Linked DNA regions of Drosophila melanogaster. The protein of the gene in region 2 interacts with the protein of the main gene of each other region in a pairwise test. Each region holds a gene or a part of one and is shown on either strand. Other genes may lie near its edges.

The links.
Region 1: the proteins of Lim3 (region 2) and how interact in a two-hybrid assay, tested with the Drosophila melanogaster proteins (one large-scale study listed by BioGRID).
Region 3: the proteins of Lim3 (region 2) and GATAd interact in a two-hybrid assay, tested with the Drosophila melanogaster proteins (one large-scale study listed by BioGRID).
Region 4: the proteins of Lim3 (region 2) and kmg interact in a two-hybrid assay, tested with the Drosophila melanogaster proteins (one large-scale study listed by BioGRID).

Annotation. Positions count from the first base shown.
Region 1 is NT_033777.3:22,040,218-22,045,190, reverse strand, and holds the start of how (held out wings), read right to left. Parts: upstream 3,001-4,973; 5' UTR 2,836-3,000; intron 2,285-2,835; 5' UTR 2,128-2,284; coding exon 1,812-2,127; intron 1-1,811. UniProt on the Drosophila melanogaster protein: RNA-binding protein involved in muscle development and dosage compensation. Vital role in steroid regulation of muscle development and to control heart rate.
Region 2 is NT_033779.5:19,105,422-19,110,271, forward strand, and holds the start of Lim3 (Lim3), read right to left. Parts: upstream 3,007-4,850; 5' UTR 1,966-3,006; intron 855-1,965; exon of another isoform or gene 745-854; 5' UTR 651-744; coding exon 302-650; intron 1-301.
Region 3 is NT_033779.5:10,332,243-10,339,719, reverse strand, and holds GATAd (GATAd), read right to left. Parts: upstream 5,807-7,477; 5' UTR 5,646-5,806; coding exon 4,908-5,645; intron 3,940-4,907; coding exon 3,796-3,939; intron 3,699-3,795; coding exon 2,837-3,698; intron 2,776-2,836; coding exon 2,648-2,775; intron 2,580-2,647; coding exon 2,427-2,579; intron 2,353-2,426; coding exon 2,124-2,352; intron 1,702-2,123; coding exon 1,604-1,701; intron 1,489-1,603; coding exon 1,312-1,488; 3' UTR 535-1,311; downstream 1-534. Other genes in the region: SamDC (S-adenosylmethionine decarboxylase), read right to left, coding at 102-205; Cox10 (cytochrome c oxidase assembly factor 10), read right to left, coding at 6,749-6,981, 7,046-7,477.
Region 4 is NT_033779.5:13,158,954-13,163,694, forward strand, and holds kmg (kumgang), read left to right. Parts: upstream 1-1,573; 5' UTR 1,574-1,633; intron 1,634-1,839; 5' UTR 1,840-1,852; coding exon 1,853-3,409; intron 3,410-3,466; coding exon 3,467-4,153; 3' UTR 4,154-4,200; downstream 4,201-4,741. Other genes in the region: Pk34A (protein kinase at 34A), read left to right, coding at 1-1,165; DnaJ-H (DnaJ homolog), read right to left, coding at 4,597-4,741.

The DNA.
Region 1 (4,973 bases), on a different chromosome or scaffold from region 2:
AGAATATAAGCTTTTGGGCGAGTTTTCCGACAGTGCGATACCTCCTGGTACCTGGTAATCAATAATCTGATTGGTCTAGATAAGACCACCGACTTCTTGGATATTTTCCAAATGAAGAGAGAAATCAAGATCTTGCATCTTATTATACAGACCATTTGCTATCACATTTCAAGTTTAATTGCAATAATTAAATGTAATTTAAATTGTAGTAGCAATTATAAACAAATTGATTAAGCAATATGGTAAAAAAAAACGTATATTAAAGTAATCCAAACATACGCTGTACATAATAAGTGTACTCTGGCCATCTAGCGGTACCTTGCAATCCGCAAATACCGCACCAGTATCTGAATCTGTGTATCTGTGCAACATAATTTTGTCATTACGAGGCGACACACACCCTCTTGGCCGGCCTGCATATGGGCAACAGATGTTGGGCAAATACAGAAACGAGAGCTCCGATATGCCAGATACAAGATACAAGATGCGACCAGGTAGTGCCACGCCCCTGCCCCTATACCGCCCCTATCCCGCCCCGAAAGTTGACTTTTGTTGGCTTGCCTTTAAGAGTTTTTGCTTCGTTGCCGTATATTTATTCATATTTTCTTTTTTTTTGATTTTTTTGGTTTTCGAGGCAAAGCGTGGGCAGTTGAGGTACATTTTTCCTCTTTCAGATAAGTTTGCTACACGTTCAGTGCACAGAGCAAAGCAGATCATTAAATGGATCCAATAATATTCCAGATTCGAAAATTTTAAAACTTTTAGCATATGTATAAATTCATACATGCTTGTGAATAAAATGATCTCTTATCACATAATACCACACCACATTAATGTTTCTATCTTTGTTGGGGGTTCCCCCCCTGGGGTTTCGCATCTCCTTCTGCGTCTCTCAAAATCCAAGCCTCCCTCCTTTTTGGTTTACGAATGGCCGAGTCAACAAAGAATTCATAATGAGAACAACAAAGGCTGCACTGGCAGTCAAGTGTGGAGCCAAGAATACAAAAGGAGAGAGCCCGGAGAGAGGTGTAAGTAGTGTGCGCTCCGCGAAGAGGCGCACAAAAAGGAAGTAACTAAAAATAACAAACATCTCGTTTCGGTTTGTAAGGTGGAATGAACTCAGAACCCGCGATGGAGAAGATGCCGAAAAGGAGACGCCGAGGAGACAAACCAGACACCCAGAGATCCATGCCCCAAAACTGATTGAACTACAGTGATCACTTGGTTAGAGGCACCCTAATCATTAACACGCCTGGCACACACGATTGAAAATGAAGTCACCACTTTAAAATAACATATATACTCATTTAAACTCTCCCATTTACCCAAATGTGTTCTAAATACCTACAGTCTCTGTAATACATGTTTACAATAAATCCCGCCAGATTCTCGGAATTAAAGTGCTTTGCAAATATTTTTTGAACAATTAAAAAAGATATAAACCAAACTGTAATGGCATCGATTTGTATACTACAATAGTTTAATGTTCTTTTCATGAATTTTTGGAATACAAACACAAAGTTCTAATACATTCTAGAGTTAAATATCTGAACATTATAACAAGAATATCCAAATTTCTTCTTTCACCACATTTCATCACATTTATTATATATAACAATTTCCTAATGGTACTGTAAAGTGTTTGATGAATAAAAGGATATTATCACAATAACAAACAGTAACTGGGTTTATCGTTTGATTCAGAAAAGGCTAGCTAGTGATCGTTATCCTTCCGCTGAGTCTTGGATCCGGGATTAGGATGATGCTGTGACTTGGAGGGATCTCACTCGGTTTGAGTTTTAGCGACTTACCTTCGTCCAGCAGGCGTTCGACGTGGGTGAAGACGTTGGGGAAGGCGGCCAGTTGCTTGCGGTCCTTGAGCAACTGGGCCAGATAGTCGGCGATGCTCTGTGTGCTCTGCTGCTGCTGCTGTGGGGTCAAGTGCTGCGGGGTCATGGGGACCACCACCTGCGGCGCCTGTTGCTGCTGCTGTGCCTGAGCCTGAGCCTGGGCTTGGGCTTGAGCCTGCTGCTGTTGCGCGACCGCAACAACTGCTGCGGCTGCCTGTTGCTGCAAGTGCTGCTGCAGTTGCTGTTGCACAACGGCTTTGCTCTCACAGACACTCATTTTGTTGCGTGCGTGTGTGATGTGTGGGTTTTTGGGAACTTTTTGTTTTGTTCTCGACGAGATTCTGGTTTTCAACTTTCAACTTTCCTTGGGTCTCTGCTTTCTTTACTTGGTGCACACTTCTTTTTTATTTGTTTTTGCTACTTTTAACACGTTACTGTGGGAGTTGGGAAATTCATTAAGTTTCGTACGCGAGCGATATTAAAAACGGAAAACGAAATGAAAACAACTCCGCCCAAAAGTATTTTTTCCGATCGGCAGCAACAACAATGCAGGGCGAGAGATACTGAGAGAGCGAGAGAGCGCAGCAAGTCGAAAGCGAAGGCAGAAAATTCCTCGGCGATCGCTCACTCACACACGGACAATAAACAGTAAAACTGTATATGCGACGGAGATGAATGAAAGCAGAATGTCAAAATAGCTGCCTCTCTCTCTCACCCTCGCTCATTTGGCTGCTGCAACAGCAAGTACAACAAAAAAGTATTTAAATAAATTTTATATTCAAATTTCTACGTTTTGAAGATACAAAGGTATAAATTCCTTTGCCTGGAGATGTACCGAGTGCACAAGGCCACTTAACCGATTTAAAAATGCAAGAAAACTCGCAGAAATATGCACAGTTGCTGATTATGTATTTGTTGTTGCTACTGGATGGCTTTGGATTTTATTCATTTCGTTTTGTTTGGAAAGTATTTTTTTTAAACACACTTTTCTTCTCTGAGGACTCCTATCCTTTGTTTATTTGATATATGTGTATATGGATTTTATTCGAGTCGGGGAATAGCGAACGGATCTCGGGACTTTACTGAACGATTCCTCCTAATTTTCCTACCACTGAACCGTGCGCAAAGAAAGAGAAAAAGAAACTGAATGCGAAGCGAAGAGCACAAAACGTTGTAAGTGTGAGATCATGCCAGTTCGATCGTGGGGTGGTGGTTTCAATGTGCTCTCGTTTCTCTGCTCTCTCGCCCAGTGACGTCACAAAGTGCGATTGCTTTTAATAAATATTTAAAAGCCAATATTTGGTTATATATTTGGGGGTATTTTTGATCTAAATTAACTAATTTCTAATATATCAGTGCTTTTAACTACTCGGTGACGTTTAGTCAATATTTGCATAACCATTTCCATAAAAAATACGCCAATACCCATCTTGTGACGTCAGTTTCTCTCTGACTTGGCTCTCTCGCACCCTACTGCCAGCATGCGAGATCACCCATCAGCGTTGCCACTCCGCACAAACAGAGTTGCGCAGCTGGTTAACATATTACACATATTTTAGCCAAAAGTGCGAGTATAAAAGTTAATAAATGGCCAAATAAGTTAATAGCAACTAAATACAAAGGTGGGCCATTAATATTCTTCCAAATGGAGGCTAGTTAATGCATTAATTGACTAACAACATTCAGCGTTGCCACCTGGTAGCTGGGTGGGCCACAATTTGGCGCGTTGGCGTTGATTTTGAATTAATTAAGACACTGCGCTGTGGAGGCATTAATTGCGCACGGAAATTGCTGGCAGATTAGAACCAAGCGGCATTTTGTTTCGCCGGACATATGCGGGGGCTGGCATCTGGGCCCCAAGTCCAAAACACCATGCAAATGAGCCCCCGAACTCGTACTGGCCAAATGTTGGTGTTAACTTGGTTAACTCTGCTGCAAAACGCGAAATGTATGTGGGAAAATTGGCATTCGCGAGCGTTTCGATGGACGCACCATATAAGCGACCCTAGGCCGGCGACAACTTTTACTTTCCATCGCGAAAGACATTTTTCGCTGGCTTCCGTGTGGTTGGCGAATTTCACAAAAATTCAACGCAGTATTAAGATATTGCGTACTAAAAATAATTAATTATCGATAAAGTGTATCAAAATAAAACAATCTTTTAAGTCTACAAAGCTACTTTTATTCTAAAATTTTACTCGTGTTCTGTTCACATTTAGGTCCTTCCACTATTACAACACTTAATGCCAGTGGATCGGTGAACTTATTGTGTGTTGCCTGTGTCTTCAACAATATTTTGATATACATATATGTATGAGGATCACTTCATTGCAACAGTCTTCCCCATCGGAACCCAAAATTTCTGGGGCGGCACATCTAGCCAACGGCAGGCATGGGGCAAGATCCGATTTTTGAAACCAGCATACACCAAAATGAGACGTGAAAGTTTAAAGTTGTGGCCAAAGTTGTGGATGGACATCGGATTGGTCGTTCCATTGGAAAGCAGACTCCCACCACCGGACCTCACCTGGCCAAGTTTCACAGTCCGGCCACAAGTCCCACCAAATTTGTGTGCACTTGGCTCAAACCGATCGGAATTGGCCTGTGTGTGTGGGCCGACATTAAATGCGTTGTACGGCCCCATTATACAGTTTTAGTGCCATTGAAAAATGTGTCAATGTGCGTGGCGATTGAGACATTGTATGCCTATGGATGGATATCCGATTTAAATCTCTGGGCCACAGACCAAAGCCCTTTCCAATCCGCACACCCACGTCGCCCAGTATCGGCCCATTGGACATCTGGCCAAGTCCGAAGTGCCAAGTTTTCCGTGGGCCGTTAATCTCTCTAGTGCTTTTGGAATTTGCCCTTTTGAATGTGGTGTTTTACATTGTGAGTGGGTCGTTTTGGGCGGCACTTTCGGTTTTGGAAAACCGAAATGGCCGCAAAATAAAAGTTTTCCAGCAGCTGTAAAGTTAGGCGAGAAAATGCTTGAATTGGTTCAAGTTTTGTGTAAACTGAAAAGTTCAGAAATTTTGGTTATGCACCATTAGTTCAACAACCTAAATCTAAAGTCGGAAATATCCCACAAATCTTTCATTGCCTATTAACAGAGAGATATTG
Region 2 (4,850 bases):
GTTAACTTACAGCAGAAGTGAAATATACGGTTTTAACATGAAAACTGTATTCTCAATATTTACTAAAGCAAAATTAAGAAACCACGATATTTTTTAATGTAAATACGACTATTCTCTCTTTCATTTCAAAAATTGATAAATTGATAAATAAAATTCAAAAATGTAATCTAAGTTTGAAAACCAAACATTTTAATAATATACTATTCTTGGCAAACATTTTTGTTCACTGTGCAGGAAAATCTCCTAGGCAGCCTTCAGATGGACAGGACTGAATCAAAGATGGCATGACTTGGCCACTTACCCTCGAGCGCCCGGTTCCTGGAAATTAAGGCGAGCACCAGTTCGGGATTTGGGTCATCCTGGTCGACAGCCAGGTGATTGTGGTGCGGATGTTGCTGCTGCTGTTGCTGCCCACCGACCAGGTGAGATGCCTGCGGCGTGGGTGGCAATTGTTGCTGCTGCTGCTGCTGCTGATGGATATGCGGCTGATGTTGCTGGTGATTATCCATGGCTGACAGGTGCTGTTGCTGCTGCAACGGATGTTGCAGCTGCTGATGCGGATGTGGCTGCTGCTGAGGCGGATGCTGGAGCTGGTGCTGATGCTGGTGGTGATGATGTAGCGGTGGCGGTGGTTTCAGGGTTTGCATCATTGCTGAGGGGCCGGCGATTTGAACACGCGTCGTATGAGTTATATGTATATTTCAGTTAGCTTATTCCAATTGGCACACGTTTGTATCTTTAGCCCTGTTTGGTGTTTAAAAAGCAATCTTTGTGTTAGTTTACCGCACTCGTTTCCCGTTTAGCGTCTAAACGAGACTCCGCTAGGCGGGATCGCTGTCTGCTCGATAACTGGCATTGGTTTGTGCCCAACAGTGGCCCGGTTGACTGTTTTTCCCTTATCGCGGCGGTCTCTTTGGGTTTCGGTTTCTACGGTAGAATCTAGATTCCAGTCTTGCCACTCGGTTGGGCTCGTGCTCAGTGCTCGGCTGCTCTATCAGTTGAAGTAGCCAGGGACTTGAACAATTTGAATTTGTTTGCGATACCGGGGCACACTAGACCATCTATTGTTCGGGTGCTTTCGACCAAGTGCAAGGCGGGTAAACTTTATGTAAGCCGAGGATAGGGCCAAACTGATCGGTAGATATTCAAAAGACCGTTTGGCGCATATCTATTCATCGTCTATCACGAGGAGAATTCTCGTGCGAAGACAACAAATCGGATGTGCACTATACTATCTATCAAAAAACGGTCAATGTCCAAGGTTTTTTTATCAAAAACGAACTGCTAATGGTTCCCAAATCAAACAAAATAGTTAAAAAAAATTTTTGTGAAATATTATAACGTAGAATATTTGATAGCAAATATCCATTTAATAGTTTATCAGTATTTGAAAACTAGTTAAGATTGAAGATAATTTATTTTATAGAAATTCAAACAAACAAAATAGGTAAACAATTTATTTTTTGTGAAATATTAAAACGTAGAATAATTAATCGGAAATTTCCATTTAATAGTTCTTCAGTATTTGGAAACTAGTTAAGATTGAAGATCATATATAAATGAAACAAAATACTATGAAATTTATTTTATAGAAATTTAATTTTAGGAGCAAAGCTCCTAAGATTAAATTGAAATTAAAATGGCTAACATCGGGAGTTGGAAATCGCACATTAATCTTATTTTGATTGCCTTAAATCTTAAAACAAACAAAATCCAATCGTGTTAGTATTAAAATTCATATACTAAACATTTTAAAATCCTAAACGTATCTTGGTTTTGTAACTCTTCTCAACACAATTTGCTCAATAGACTTTTTTGTTTTAAGGATCTACTGTTAAAATGTAACATTCCATTTTTTAATCAAGCTGGCTTTCTTTTCAATAGTTCCTCAGAATTTTAGCCTTTTTATTGAGCCTTTCGTTATGCGACGGAATCGTAAAACCAGTGGAAATGATTTGCATTTACCCTATTAAAATTTTTTGCGTCACTTTAACACTCAACTCTAGTATTTGTTAACTTTGTTAATTATTGGCTGGTTTTTAATTTTCTTATTTCAACATTTCGTATTATTTCGTTTGAATTTTCTGCGGCACTTGAACGCGATTTTATGCGAACGCCATTTTGGCGACGGCATCGGCAACTTTAACGGTAACGGTAACGGATTCGGCAGCGAAAACGACGACGGCAAATGCGAAGCCAGTGCGACAAAATGGCGGCGGCATGGCTAACGGTGTTTGCCCAACGGTAAGGTAACGGTCTGGAAACGGTAACGGTGTCGGTAACGGTACGGCGGCAACCCTGGACGCGGCAACACTGGCAGGCGGCTGGTATTGTTGCTGGTGGGAATCCCCTCTATTTGCCGCGCTGCATCTTTATTTATTTTCTTGGCCGTCCAAACTGTCGTCTCTCCTTTTTACTTTGCGCACTTTTTCACGCTTTTTCTCGACTGTGCGAGCTTTTAACGCTGTTGTTTTTTTTTTTTTTTTTTTTTGTTTTTTGCCTTTCGTCTTGTATTCGTGTGCCGTTTGCCGTTTGCCTTTTGGCCGCCCACATGGGTACGCCGTGCGTATACGTACTATCTGTGGGTGTGTGCGGGTGTGCGGGCGTGTGTTTACCAATTGATCCTAATGTGACACAAATGATATGGTAAAATGCATACAGCCAGCCCTGAATGGCAGGACAACAATGGCAACAAGGCGGCGAGGCGACAACGCCAGCAGCGACAACATTTTTGTGCTTCTTTTTGGAGGCCGTGCGCATGTGTGTGTCGCTCTCTGGCGATGCCCATTTGCCCGAAAAGTCCAAATTCCAAGAGCATTACAATATTTGTAAAACGCAAAAACTTTAGCCTCGTCGAAAAAAGAAGGTGTGGAAACTTTTTTTTGTTTCCCTCTGCCTCAAGAAGCTTGAGCTGCAAAAGTGCAGGGGCAAAAAAAAAATGAAAAAAGGAAAACAGCACAGTGGGTAGAACAAAAAGCCAACCAACGTCGAGCGCGACACCTTCGTTGGCCCCAAAACAACAGTAAACAGCACTTAAAAGTCAGCAGCGACGTCGACTGAGGCGAAACAAATATGAGAAACTTAACTCAAAGGTCCAAGTCAATACGCGGCGCGCGGTCACCAAAAATGCGGGGTCTCCACTGGAAAACAGGCACCGCCCCTTTATATTGAAAATCGCTGGAAATCGGCCGACGATAGAGTCCAAAAGCAACAAGAACTTCCAGGCATGCGCAGGCAGTGGCCATTATCTTATCGCCCCAGCGTCGCCATTAAAATGGGGCTGGGGTGGCCATACGCTTCTATTCCTAGAGTTCGATGTCGTTCCAGCGCCGGCGCACTCGAAAACCCAAAGCTGGCAGGGTGATGGGAGAGGGGGGAAGTTGCTACTCCATGCCCGAGTCACCCGTTGCCCATGAGTTCGCTGTATCTGCATAGGATTCTCGCTGTCTGTGTAGTTTCGGAACCCCTATATCTATAGTGGATACTTGCCACCCGTCCCGAAAACCCCTTAAATGCGTTGCGTCTGCAAAAACGATTTTGTTTTCGCATTTATTTATGAGCCGCTTAGAGCGCGCCAAATACTTTGCCAAACACTTTGAACCCCAACGCCATGCTCGAGAACCCCACGCCCCCGCTCCCAACGGATGACCTCCGCCCACCCACCGAAGTGGACACTAGCAGGGAAGGTCGTTTGTGGGTTGGGTTCCGCGCTGCGGCGGAGCAAGGAACGCGAACAGCTGGAGTGCGTGGGTCGCTCGAAAAGTATGCCCGGTCTGAGAAAGTCTGCATAAAATGCCAGATACAAAGTACGTATAAATATTAGAAAAAAACATGATTCCATCTTATGCTGTAAAATGTATTACTTCATACTTATACTAAGACTTTTGTATCATCATCATTTACAGCTTGCCTGTAATATATATTGGATACTATTACACAGAAGCTAAACTATAAACTGTATAAACTATATTACATATTTCCTTTATTAAACATTCAGCATTTTCTTATTGGGCTTTCGTTACGCGTGCGGAACAACACGAAAACACGGCATACCCTTGAACCCAACTAGTACCGATTATAAAAAAATATAGGGTAAGAGCATAAAAATGCAGCGTGACCCTGAAACTGAAACTGATCGTGAATGGAAATGGAAATGGAAATGGCTGATGAAACCGATGCACTCAATCCAACGCGATCCCAATCTATGGCATCCCAGGCGGAGCTTCACTTCCGCGGTTACCAAATCGACTTTGACTTTCAAATTTTCCAACGCTTTTGTCGCAGACGTCTGTCTAATGGAGCCGTTAATGGTTAGACACATGAAGTATTTTGCCAAATGGGCTCGACTTGGGACGGTTAATTGCTGATGATGTGATGATATGGAACCGGATCGGCAGTGGGTTTTGGGGGGGATGGCGGAGATTTAGTAAGCAGCAGTGCTAGTGTTTGGATAACACATTTTAATAGACAATTAACAAGCAGTTTGTTTAAATTTTCTTCACCGACATTTTTAACTTTTGTCCGGCGATCTTGTTTTCGCTATTGTGTCTTTTGGTAGTTACATAAACATAAATCTCGGCAATGGGCCAGTCAGAAAGACAAAAAACTTGCTGCCACTGCACATTTTCACACATAGCCGGATTTTTGTTAACGTTGTTGGAGTTCCCCCCCAAACTTTTTATTGGAGGGTCTCGAGATTCGGAGCTCATTGAGACTTGGTTAAAGCGCAGCCAGCTCATTTGTAGATTCGAATGTCAGCGGTGAACAAGTGCGGAACCAGCGGAGCGGCTAAATACCCAAATTCCCCCCCAAAGTAAATCGCGCCTTTTTTTTTGGATTAACCAGGATCA
Region 3 (7,477 bases), 8.8 Mb from region 2:
AACGGCGCATATGTACGTATACTTTTGCCCGCAACTGTGCATGCACTTGTGCACAAAGGACATGTCGGCTGTTTGGGTTCCGCACTTGTTGAGGGACTCACCTGCTGATGTTACGCAGATCATCGTCACCGTTGGAGCTCTCCTCAAACCAAATCTCAAGGAGTTTCTCAACGCCCTCGAAGAAGTGCGAACCGTTCTCCAACATGCTGCTGGCTGGCAATAACAAATGGATCTGATCTGATACCAAAACAACGCCTGGTGATGTAAAGTAAACGATGGGACTATCGATGCGAGTGCTTGTTGTACTACATCGATAATTCGGGAGTCTAACAGCATGTTTCCACTTACAGCATTTCTCATTGAACAGTCGGCGGTAAAAATGTAAGTCCCTTTCTATTCGAATTAAGATACTTAAATATCTTTAATATATATTTTTTCAAATTCTCATCATTAGTTTAACAGATTTTTCGGTTGCTTATCCCATACCCCAGGCAAATAGTTAAAAAAAAACAGTAGAATTTGGATTTTCATTTTACATTAACCAGTTTTATTGTGATTGTTAAAAATTGTATAGAGTATTTTATTTGAAAAAATAAATGAGTAATATTTTTTGTATCTTAGCCTATTATGAAGTCCTTATTTTATTTAGACAATTTATGTAGATTCGAAAACAGCATTAAGTTTTTTAGTTTCTTATAATTGTATATAATTTAAATATTTCCTTGAAAAGTTTGCATTGCGTGATTATTGCTTTTTGCATAGTTTTACTATTAAAATGTTTTGTGGAGATTATTATATTATCACATGATTTTCGTATAGGCAAGAGATTTAAAACATTATTATTTTTTAGCTTTAGAAGTTGTTCAATTGCAAAGACAGCTGAAAAATCATTGTTAAAACTGAACTTTTCATTTTAATAGAAGCGATTTGTGTTATTAAAAAATTAAAAATACTGTAAAATGGTTTTAATAAATATAAATATAATAAATTTTATTTTTAATTTAATTGCATTAAGTATTGATGTCCTCTCTTAAGGTCTATATTTAGTGTGATATTATTTAAAAGTTTTGACATACTGGTTCAATTTTCATACCTCTTTTACACTAATAAGTATTTTGGTATTAGTTTTTAAAGATACAAATGAATAAAATTTAGTTTTAAAGAATGAAAATTTTATTAATAATCTATACGTATTTTTAATCCTATACCATTTGTTTTTCTCTCTTACGCGACCTCATAAATAAACAAAATGTGGGTTAAAGGTTCTTCTTTTTTTTTCGAAAAGTGAGTAGGGGGAATATATTTGGCGTTTTATGTTAACTTTGCATTATTTTCACTGGAAACAAGGTTAAGCGGTGCGGATAGATCCGCACTTTCACAGGTATCATTAAACGCCGGCAAAGAATTTGACTTCTTACGCCTTGATAAAATATCTTTAAGTGCTGCTGCGGCTGGGGTCTCGGTATCATCAATTTCCTTTTTGAATTTCTAAAATAAAAACATATTAGAAAATTGAAGTTTAAGTGTATTTAAATCTTATGCAAATAGATCTAGTTGATCAATCTACTTATCAAGACTTTAAAGTAATAGTGCAGATACATACATTTAAAACAAGGCCCGAAATGGCTAGAGATTCCCTAGCCGTCAAGAAATCTTGCTTCGTTGTTTCTATTGAAGAACATGATGACATTTGTTTGTGTTCTGCAAAAGAAAGTGTATATTTATAATTTTCGCAAATAAATCATACAATTAATAATGAAAGGCTCGTAGATATTTATTCAAACTTGAGCAGTTTAACGACTTAACAGGCACGTCCAATGCCATCTACAACAATGACATCATAAAATATGATTGGACAAGCAAGAAAATATTTTGGGTGGGTACGCGGTTAATATTCCGATTGCTAAATCAATAGCTTAATGAACATATTAACAGAAAAATAAATTGTTTTGGCAAGTTACATTTAATTACCAACAATAAAATGGTCAGGGAACATAAAAAAAAAACATTAAGTAAACAAATTGTTTTCATTGTTAGATACTCAAAAAATAAATAAATCTATGGGTCACAGAGGGCTAGCTTTCGAATCGAAAAATGTAGATAAATTTCGAACTCTCACTCACTCTTTTTAGATCGCTCCAATTCTTTAGGACGCCTGCGTCTGGTGTGTATGGTATCGCGTCTCATTGAATGCGGCCTGTTGACCCCATGCAGCTTGAAGTACAATCCGCAGGCGTTGCACACCATCTCTCCTCGAACACTTCGCCGCCAAATTGTTGTGGTGAGGGTGCCACAATTCGAACATGACATATCTTTTTGAGCACCAGGTATGGCATTAAAAAGGTTTATGTTCTACGAAATCGGAATTGAACCAAGAAATAATATAATTAGTATGTGATTCAATGAGGATGACTGTGATAACGTACCCTTTTATCTTTCTTATCATCCGGAGTTGCTTCTGAAGTGGTATAAGTATCAGTCACATTCTCATTAACTACATCGATGCAATCAGTTTTGGTAGGAAAACTTTGTTTTCTTCTACATGGTTTTGATTTGCTGGATTGAGCCTCTGATAGATCCTAAGAACACAAAGAGTATTAGACTTTCCTATAGCTACTTGCTACTTGAAATAGAAGAAATAGTTTACCTTTAATAGTGCTATGGGTTCTTCAGGTACTTTTGTAAATGATACTGTCGACGGAACCGGAAACGCGAAAGGCTGGCTCATCATATTTCGAAATATTTGTGATGCCGGATTGTCCTCCTTGCTTTTAGCTATCAAATTGAAATGTTTTTCATAATAATATGCGGTCAGTGGTCGGATAATAATACGTACCGGCTGATCTGGCCAGTGCCTGCCAGAGTTGAGTAGTTGCCGCATCTGTGGCGTGATCCGAGCTTAAGCTATCCGGAGTCTTTCTATCATTTATGGAGGACGTGATGTCCATCTCTAGTTTGTGAGAGTCGGAACTATCGCCAGAGTCTAGCAAGGAGCCGGTACTCGCCTTGGGTGCTTTTGATTTGAAGTCGGACCCACCAACTTGGTTAATGGTAATACTGTAGTTTTGAAAATCCTCTTCACTTCTTAAGTGTGACTGAATATCAAGCATTGGAGTTTGGCAAAAATGGTGTATTGGGGCCGCGTTCCGTTGATTAGAGTAATCGTTCTTTTGTTTTTTGACGGATAGGTCAATTTCAACACCGTCCTGAATTTCATTTTGGTTTGATGGACGTTTTGATTTTATCACAGAACTTTTAATACTTGTATCTACAGCTGCAGAAAAACACGGAGATTGCGGATTCGAACATGGAGGGGAAATTACTATTTTTTTGCTTATATCCATTAAAACGGCAGCCGTTTCAAGCTGCTGCTGCAGATTTTCATATTTCTCGATATCCGAGTCCTTTTGCAGTTTTGAATCAAACTGGCTGTGTGAGGATCCAGACATTGCTTTGCTCTTTTGATCGCTTTTCATAGTAATTGATTTGAATAAACTTGGATATAAGCTATGTGCTGGCATTTCTTGATTGCTAATCTCGATTTTCCGATCCAAGCCGGGTTGGATGCTGGAATCCAATTTACTGTGGTCGTACTTAACTTTAGAGAACGTGCTTAACTCCGTCAGAGCCTTTGCCGCTATAGCCTCCGATGAAGCCTTTAAAATTGCATCGAGCTTGGTTTCCAAATCATTTGGGTCCTGCAAAAAACATAGTTCGTGAGTAGTAATTCAAATGGTCATTTAATTTAATGGCGTATGACTAACTAAGTTCCTTCCAATCAATACTTATACTTACTGGTCTCAGATTTTTGGATATATTTAAAAATTCTTTCAAAGCTATTTGTGAATTGTGCGCCATGGTTCGAAATTTTTCGAAGGAATCCAATTTTTGTCTGCAGTCGCCACAAACCACGTTGGGTAATCCATCGTTGGGCAGTGCCTGAAAGAAATATGAATGTATCTTATACTGCAGTATCCACTTTTAATATTCAGTTGGCTAGCAATGAGAATGATGCAATGACTAAGGAGCAAGGCGGTAACAAAATCGATCGATGGGATTGATGACTGGTTATACTTGGAACTAAAAGAAGAACATTGGATGCTTTGATATTGTATAAATCAAGCTAAAACTATTTGTATTTTAATCAATTTTATCATTATACATGTATTAAAACTTTAGTATACAATTTATATCTCTGTAAATCTCATGAAACAAATTATTTTAATTGAAAAAAATTAAAAACAACCCTATAAAATGATAAAAAAAAAAAAAAATAACATATGTTCATCTACGGAAATAAACACTAAAGCTCATGAAATGCATTAAGAGCACAAATTATCAAATCAATAAATAAATAAATACATAATAACAAATGAAAGTACTCGAAGTATGTAAAAAAAACACATTGGGGCCATATAAGGTGTATGTACGTCGGTATATCCGCACTTAAACAATCGAAACGAATGTTATCTCTTTGGTGGATTAATGTATGTAGGTCTCTAACATACATCCATGCGTGCATATACACACACGTATGTACATAGCAATATTTACATTCGTGCGCTGGACACTGATGTACGAGTGTGGCGTGGTGTGCGTGGGCCTGGGCCAATGCCTTGCAATGGTTCATCGAAAAAATACCAAACAATTGATACCGATTGTTAATAGGCCATGGGATAAAAGCGGCCCAATCATTTCCTATTATTTTGACGTGTGGTGTCGTAATCACATAGATAACACACACCAGCGCACGGCAAGCACTCGCAAAAGTGCGCGTGTGTGCGGGCATTATCGTGTACATATACGCGATATATCCAACTCACACACAGGTAAGAGCATGCTTGTGTATGTGCGTAATTAATGTAAATTCGTTTCTTTGCAAATGTGTTGGATGGAAATCTGCTTACCTTAATAGAGAGACAGTTGAATATCTGAAATGTAAGATGTGGTGATGATGAATCATCCCGACCGTGCTCTTTGCCGTAGTTATCGGTTCCGCTTATATTTGTTGTATTCACACTTGTCTCTTCGCGTCCGCTCTGCTGATTATGATTATGCTGATGTTCCTCCTCCTCGCGCATTGGCTCCGATTTTGTTTGGGATTGGGATAGCGATGCGGAGGGGGATGGCGTCTCCCCGCTATATTCTATATGTTCGTGATCCGACGATGACTGACTTTTGAATACTGTTGATCTCTCGGCGATGTCCGACTCCAATTGGCATTGGCGTTCGCGCTCACTCGACTTTGCGTCCGCAGCAGAAGGCACACTTGGCGTGTAATGGATTTTAGTTTGGTTTTGGTGATGGTGAAGGGTTTGCGATTGGATCTGCTGGCTTGGAACGGGCACAGGCACGGAAACGGGTATGGGTATGGGCACGGGTACGGGTGTTCCCTGGTTGCGCCGTTCATTTTTGTTGGCTGATAGCGGGTTATCAACGATGCAACTGCACGGATTGGGGCTTAAAGCGCTGCAAAAGCAGTTGGCACGATTCGCGACGCCACGAAAATCGGCCGATATTCTGTCTGGGGCACTATTATTATGCGACGAATTATCGTAAATCTGTAGTACTGCAACATCGCACTCGTTAACCAATGTGAGGCACAATCGACAAACTTGACGAAACTTATGTGGTACATTATTCATAATTAGAAATTTATATTCGTTTTGCACTGTGTAAAGAAACTTTCATACGCCTCTCCTTTATCGCGATAAAAAAGATAACTGGTAAAATAAATTATAAAATGAATGTAAACACTATTCCTCAATTTTTCATTGTCACAATCCACGTTCAGCTCACTAAAAATAATTCACTCCAGTGGTTCGCCACAGATTTTTCGCTCATTTGATCTAGTTTCCCGTTCAAATTACCAAACGAGGGCTCCAGCGATAGTCGCGTTAGCTGCATGATTCATCTCGGCATCGCGATAAATCAGTGATTATGCTAATGTGCTTCTGTGATAAAACATCAAGGCTATTGCAACACAATACAAAATATTGTTCTTTTCATTTGTAAGACCAACGCATACAGCAGAGGAACCAGTGAAATATACTGAAATAGGGGCAACTTTTTGGTATTTCTGTTATCGATAACGTACAGCTATACTCATTTTTAGCTAGAAATTTTTGACTATTTATCTGACGGATTTTACTATTATTATTAAAATTATTTCAATTGCGGAATATAGTTCCTAAAATAGCTAGAATACTTATCCCTAGGAAATGCGCATGTCGTTTTTTAATCTTGGAAAAAAAACCCTCCAAAGGAATAAACTCTGGAATCTGAAGAAGAGATGCCTTACAATGCCTTAAATAATACGTTCGATTCGATTGCTACAATTTATCAAAATAAAATAGATTTAAATTCCTTATTTTCAACAACCGATGAAACAACGGGAAACGGGATTACTTCCACTAACAATTTTTACCGTTTCCGTGCTTTTTTTGAAACAAGTGCTCAAAGAACAATATAATAAGGTCATACTTAGAATCTTGCAATTTAAATTACTGTACGGCTTAAGATTCCATGCCAAATTGTATATTTTAAATTTATTTGTATTCAGCGCCGGATTGGTTACACCGCATATTTTTCAAGGATGTCGTGTCATTTATTAGGCGCAACATATATTTGCCGCACAGGGGTACGTGTTTCCTTAATATTAAATGACTGTTTTTACAAGTTGCAGAACACTAAGTATATTTAAATTTCACACGATACTTAACATTTTATCAAATTAATGTTAATATTTCTATCTGGGTCCTTCGGCTACGGCGACGGGCAGGACATTACCAAGACTGCTAGCAGAATGCTTTATCGCACTGTACGTGGACTCCTTTTTGTTCTCCTCACCGGCGGGTTTGCTGAAATACCATTCCTTCTTATTGGTCAGAAATAGCAGCATCAGGGCGGGCAGGTGTATCAGTGAAAATCGGAACAGCTTCCGCGAGCTCCCACTATCTGACTTTTCATGAAACTTGTACGCTGCAAGCAAACAGAACGTATTAGACATAACATATAGGATTCCATGGTTAATGAGTATATTTACCAAGGTAGGCGAAGTACGCGTTCAGAGGTAGTGTTTCCAAGGCAAACCAGTAGTTCGTGACGTCCAGTACGGGTGCCATGGCTGAAAGTCCGACAATAGCCACCGAATATCGCAGCGCAGTGCGGCGACAAAGACCCGGATTGGTAACGGCCATCATTCGGTAGCCGGCACGTGAATAATCCGGCCGGAGGTTCCACGACAGAGCGTTGAAGTGCGGGAACTGCCACGCGTACAGCACTCCGGCTAGGATCATGGCGCCGGCGTCCAGGGTGGCTGCACAACCAGCCCATCCCATCAGCGGAGGAATGGCGCCCACTATCGATCCCACCCAGGTATTGACTATGCTGATACGCTTCATCGGTGTGTATATCGTGGTGTAGAGGAACAGGTTACCCGCTCCCAGCGCCGCCGTCAATCCATTTACTCCGAAAT
Region 4 (4,741 bases), 5.9 Mb from region 2:
AAAGAAGCAAAAGCCCCTTAAACGCCATGCCCAAGTTCCACTCATCATTCCCAAGAACTCAGTGATCAGCACCTATGCCGTCGGTCGCCTCTGTTCGGAACCTGCTTTGGTCAGGATTGAGGTTAAAGATCTGATTGGAAGTGGATCCTTTGGCCGGGTTTACCAGGCTCATGTGAATGAGTCCGAGGAAATAGTGGCCGTTAAGCAAACCCTTTACAATCCGAAGTTGAGCCAGGGCGAAGCAGAAATTATGGGTCAGCTAAAGGACCACAACAACATTGTCCGGCTCATCATGCACTCGTCCGTGAGTTTGGGCTTTCCGTCAGTGGACTACGTTTTGCTGGTTATGGAGTACATGCCTATGACTTTGCTGGACTATATCAACTATCACCTAACGGTGCTACAGCCCGCAGAGCGCCTAATCAATGTCCGCATACTCTCGTATCAGATGTTCAGAGGATTGGGATATCTTCATCTATTGGGCATTTCCCACCGGGACGTCAAGCCCGAGAATCTGCTGATAGACAACCAGAAGATGGTGCTTAAGCTAAGTGATTTTGGAAGCGCCAAACTCCTGGTGCCCCAGGAGCCCAGTATAAGCTACATTTGCTCCAGGCTTTATCGTGCTCCGGAGCTTTTTGCCGGGTACGAACTTTATTCGTGTGCCGTGGACATCTGGAGTGCTGGTTGCGTCCTGGCGGAGCTGCTCAAGGGATATCCGCTCTTCTCCAGCCACAAACATGACCGAAAGCAGCTGCGACTCATCGTTAATATGCTGGGCACCGATGGCTTGGAACGAGCTCCTGAAATACTCTCAAAGTGTGGAAATTCACTTCACCCACGGACCACTCGTCCCAGTTGGAATTATCTCCTGAATACGGCTGTTCCGCAGGATCTGTGCGGTCTGTTGAACTCGTGTTTCATCTATGAAGCCGCCGCTAGAATCTCACCTATGATGGCATGTAGTCATGGTTCCTATGATGAATTGCGCATCATGGACGCCATGGCGTTGCCCATGCCCAATGGCAATCCGCTCCCCCCTCTGTTCGACTTCAACAGCCTGGAGATGGGTACAGATCCAAAACTTTGGGTCAACCTATTACCGATCCATTTGTCTTCAATGGAGGACAAGTATTCGGTCGTAGAAGCCTTTGAAGCAGTCTAGAAGATTTTCAAAATAAACTAACTATGGCAGGGATTTTTCAGGTTGTTCAAATATCTAATTGTCCTCTTGTTACTGATGTTAAGTGTCCTGCCCTGGAAAGGAAAAAAAATAAATAATAAAAATGTATTACAAAATAATATTAAATAACATTTCAGCGATAACATGAAATTATCATTTGGATGGAAATAAAACCTGTTAAAAAACTTTTCTTAAGATGCAAAATAGATACACTAAGAAATGTTTAATATTTTATTACAATAATTCTTATTTATTAAAATCTAAAATTAAATAGGCTTATGTTAACATTAACATTGGAACCACATAAACACTTGGAACCGAATCTTGAACCGGAACCATGCGTTTTTTATTGACACCCAAGAAGCAAGTTTTATAAATTGTGGTTATGTGAAAGAAAGAATGACATTGCTATTTTTATAAAATATAAAATAAAACCTAAACCTTAATTCGGTGAGAACTACGAATTTTTTATTTGGCATTTGAACATCTCACGTCCCTGAGAACTCGTTTTCTGTCATATCGAAGTAGCCCTTGGAAAAGCCAAAAGAAGTTTAGCAGGACCATCGGAAAAGTGAATCAGTCTTACAGGAGAACTCGCACCGGACGGTTGAAAAGTGTTCTGTGAAAAAATCCAAGGAAAATTTTGCTTGTTTCAGATTTTGTCAAGTCATGGAGCTGCCTTCAATGGTGGAGCGTTCGGGTGATCGCTTGGTGGTGCGCAGCTTGGTTAGTGGTGCTCCACTTTATCAGTCATCTATTGAGGGCGGAGCAGGTGCTGTGCTTCCTATGTCCCAAAGCGTGCAGCCGCTAATAGGTCAGGACTTTTTGGAGCAACAACTGGAGCAGTATAAGGCGAATAACTTTATGTTTCCACTATCGATGGCCGGGTTTGTTTCCGCAGACTCTGCACCACCGGGGGACTTGGCCAAGGAAAATATGGAGAACTCACTGCCAGATGGTAATCCGTGCAACAACAACAACGACGATGAGCTGCCGCAGTGCAAGATACGGCGTAACTACAGCTGCAACCAGTGCGCATTCTTCACGCAAAATCCGCGCAGTCATCTCTCGCATCTGCGGGACGTACATGGCGAGCGGATTGTGATCAACGAGTGCAAGTTGTGCCTCTATGCCTCACGCCACTTCCAGAAGCTGGTGCGGCACATGAAAATGGTGCACGGCTGTTCCGATGATGGCGGCGCAGTGCAGGGATCAGGTGCTCAGCCGCGTGGTAAGCGAAATCTCTCCAGGGAGGTGCGCAAGCGTCGTCTGGAGGAGAGCATTGAAGGCCAGGGTGCGACTGGGCAATGCCTAGACCTCAGCGTGCTGCGCATGATCCAAAATGGACCGCCACTGGAGCAGCTGAAAGTAGAACTGCAGCAGCAAGAGATGCAGCTACTGGCCAGTGTCCAGGCGTACAATCGACAGCAGGAGATGCTGCAGCTGCAGCAGATCGTCGAGAGCCACGACAACATATTCTCCATGGCCTACGAGTTCCAGACCAAGTTAATGCCGCCTAAGCAAGCAGAGTCCCTGAAATTGGAACAGCAAAACAGCAGCTCCGATTCCGAGGAGACTGCGAAGAGTCCTTCGCCGGATACCCGTGAATTGGTGTCGGGTAAGGAGCAGTTTCAATGCCAGAAGTGTTCATATAGCACGCCCATTCGAGCCAGATTCAAAAAGCATGTGAAGTACCATTCCATGCCACTGATCAAGTGCAGCTCATGTGATTTTCACACACCCTACAAGTGGAATCTAGACCGGCACACCAAGAACCATGGTGCCAATGGCCATTTCAAGTGCTCGTGCTGTGACTTTAGCACGGATATCAAACAATCGCTGACCATACACGAATCAAACCATCATGTGCCCATGCCGGTTCACCAAATGGGCAACCGAAGCCGAGATGAGGCTGAGGATCTGGTGGATCAGCAGTCAAGTGGTTCCAGGAAACCAGAAACGTTTAAAAATGGTGGTGCTACCGTTGCATCGACAGAATCTCTGCTTCCCCGGACTTCGGGGATCGTTTGTTCACACTGCCAGAAGCGGGTGGGCAATGCCATGCAGTTGATCAACCATCTACAAGTGTGCACTTTGGCCTTGCACAACACCACCCAACTGCAGGCTTCTATCAACGCGGAGGTGGATCTTCACGATGAGGACTTCCCCAATGCTCCCACTGATCTCAGTTATTGCGGCGTAGAAACAGCTCCTGGCTATGGGGAGGTAAAGTCCATATATATATAAGTACATGGTGTTGCAAACTTATCCCTTTAATTTCAGGTCACAGAAGTTTTGCCAGAGGAACCCGAAGATTTGGCGCCATTGAAGAAGGTTTTTAAGTGTCCTCATTGCAGTTTTTGGGCAGCCACTGCATCTCGCTTCCATGTCCACATCGTTGGTCATCTAAATAGGAAGCCCTTTGAATGCTCTCTGTGCGCCTATCGCTCCAACTGGCGCTGGGACATCACCAAGCACATCCGTTTGAAGGCCCTCCGCGATAGATCCCATAACCAGGCCCAGGTGCTGATGAACGATGAGACCGGTAGGCGCAACTACGCCAAGTACAATCAGTATCTGACTATGATGAAGGTAAGCGCCGAACAATTGGCCGATTCGAAGGGAATGCGCACGGGTGAAATGATTGTGATGCCGCCGGAGAAGCTAGACGACCATCATCCCATGGAAACGGAGGAGATCATCGAGATGGTGGATAGTGCTCATTCGACCTCGGCACTGGATTTACGAAAGCCCAGGGATGACCAGACGGAGGACTTGGCAGGCAACAGCGATGAGCTGCCGCAAGAGGGAGCCAAGACGGAGCCAAATTTAGAACCCTTGTCATTTAAATCATTGAATTCATCACAAGTCATGCCAAAGCCCAAAGGGTCGCCTATGAATTTGACCAAGACAGATGGTGGTCAATCAGACGAAACGACATCCGCTGATGAATCCAATGAAAGCGATTAAAACGGATCTTTCGAATCTTTGAATACTCAATTCTCAGCAACAATATTAAAAATTAAATAAAAATACGTAAATCGATTTAAATTTATCCGGTTTTTAAGATTTCTATGAGAGAACTATTATTGTGTATTCGTTTATAGTTTTGTAGGGATAATTGGGGCAAGTTCAGCCCAAAAAATAGGTACCAATAAATAAGTAGTTAATAGTTAATTTAGCGTGGCTAATGTATTAGTGACAGATCAGCTAAGCTTTAGTCTCGAATAATAACACTACGAATTTAGATCACGCGCTTTTCACAGCAAACATTCCTGTATGAAAAATAATACTATGCATATCAGGACGAACAGCGGCACCAGGAAGCAGACTTCATCTACGCTGAAAGTGCCCAGGATGAGCCACAAATCGAGGCAGAGATACCGCGCCTGCAGGAGCCACAACCACATGCACTAAGCCGTCTGGCACTGTACGCCCTCAAAGTGAGACGACTGTCCGTCCTCGTCTTCCTGCTGTCGTGGCTGCGGCTTATAGTCCGTCATTTGCACTTCCTCGGCGTTCTTTGGGATCACTATCGGCTGTCTGGGAGGGAGTAAG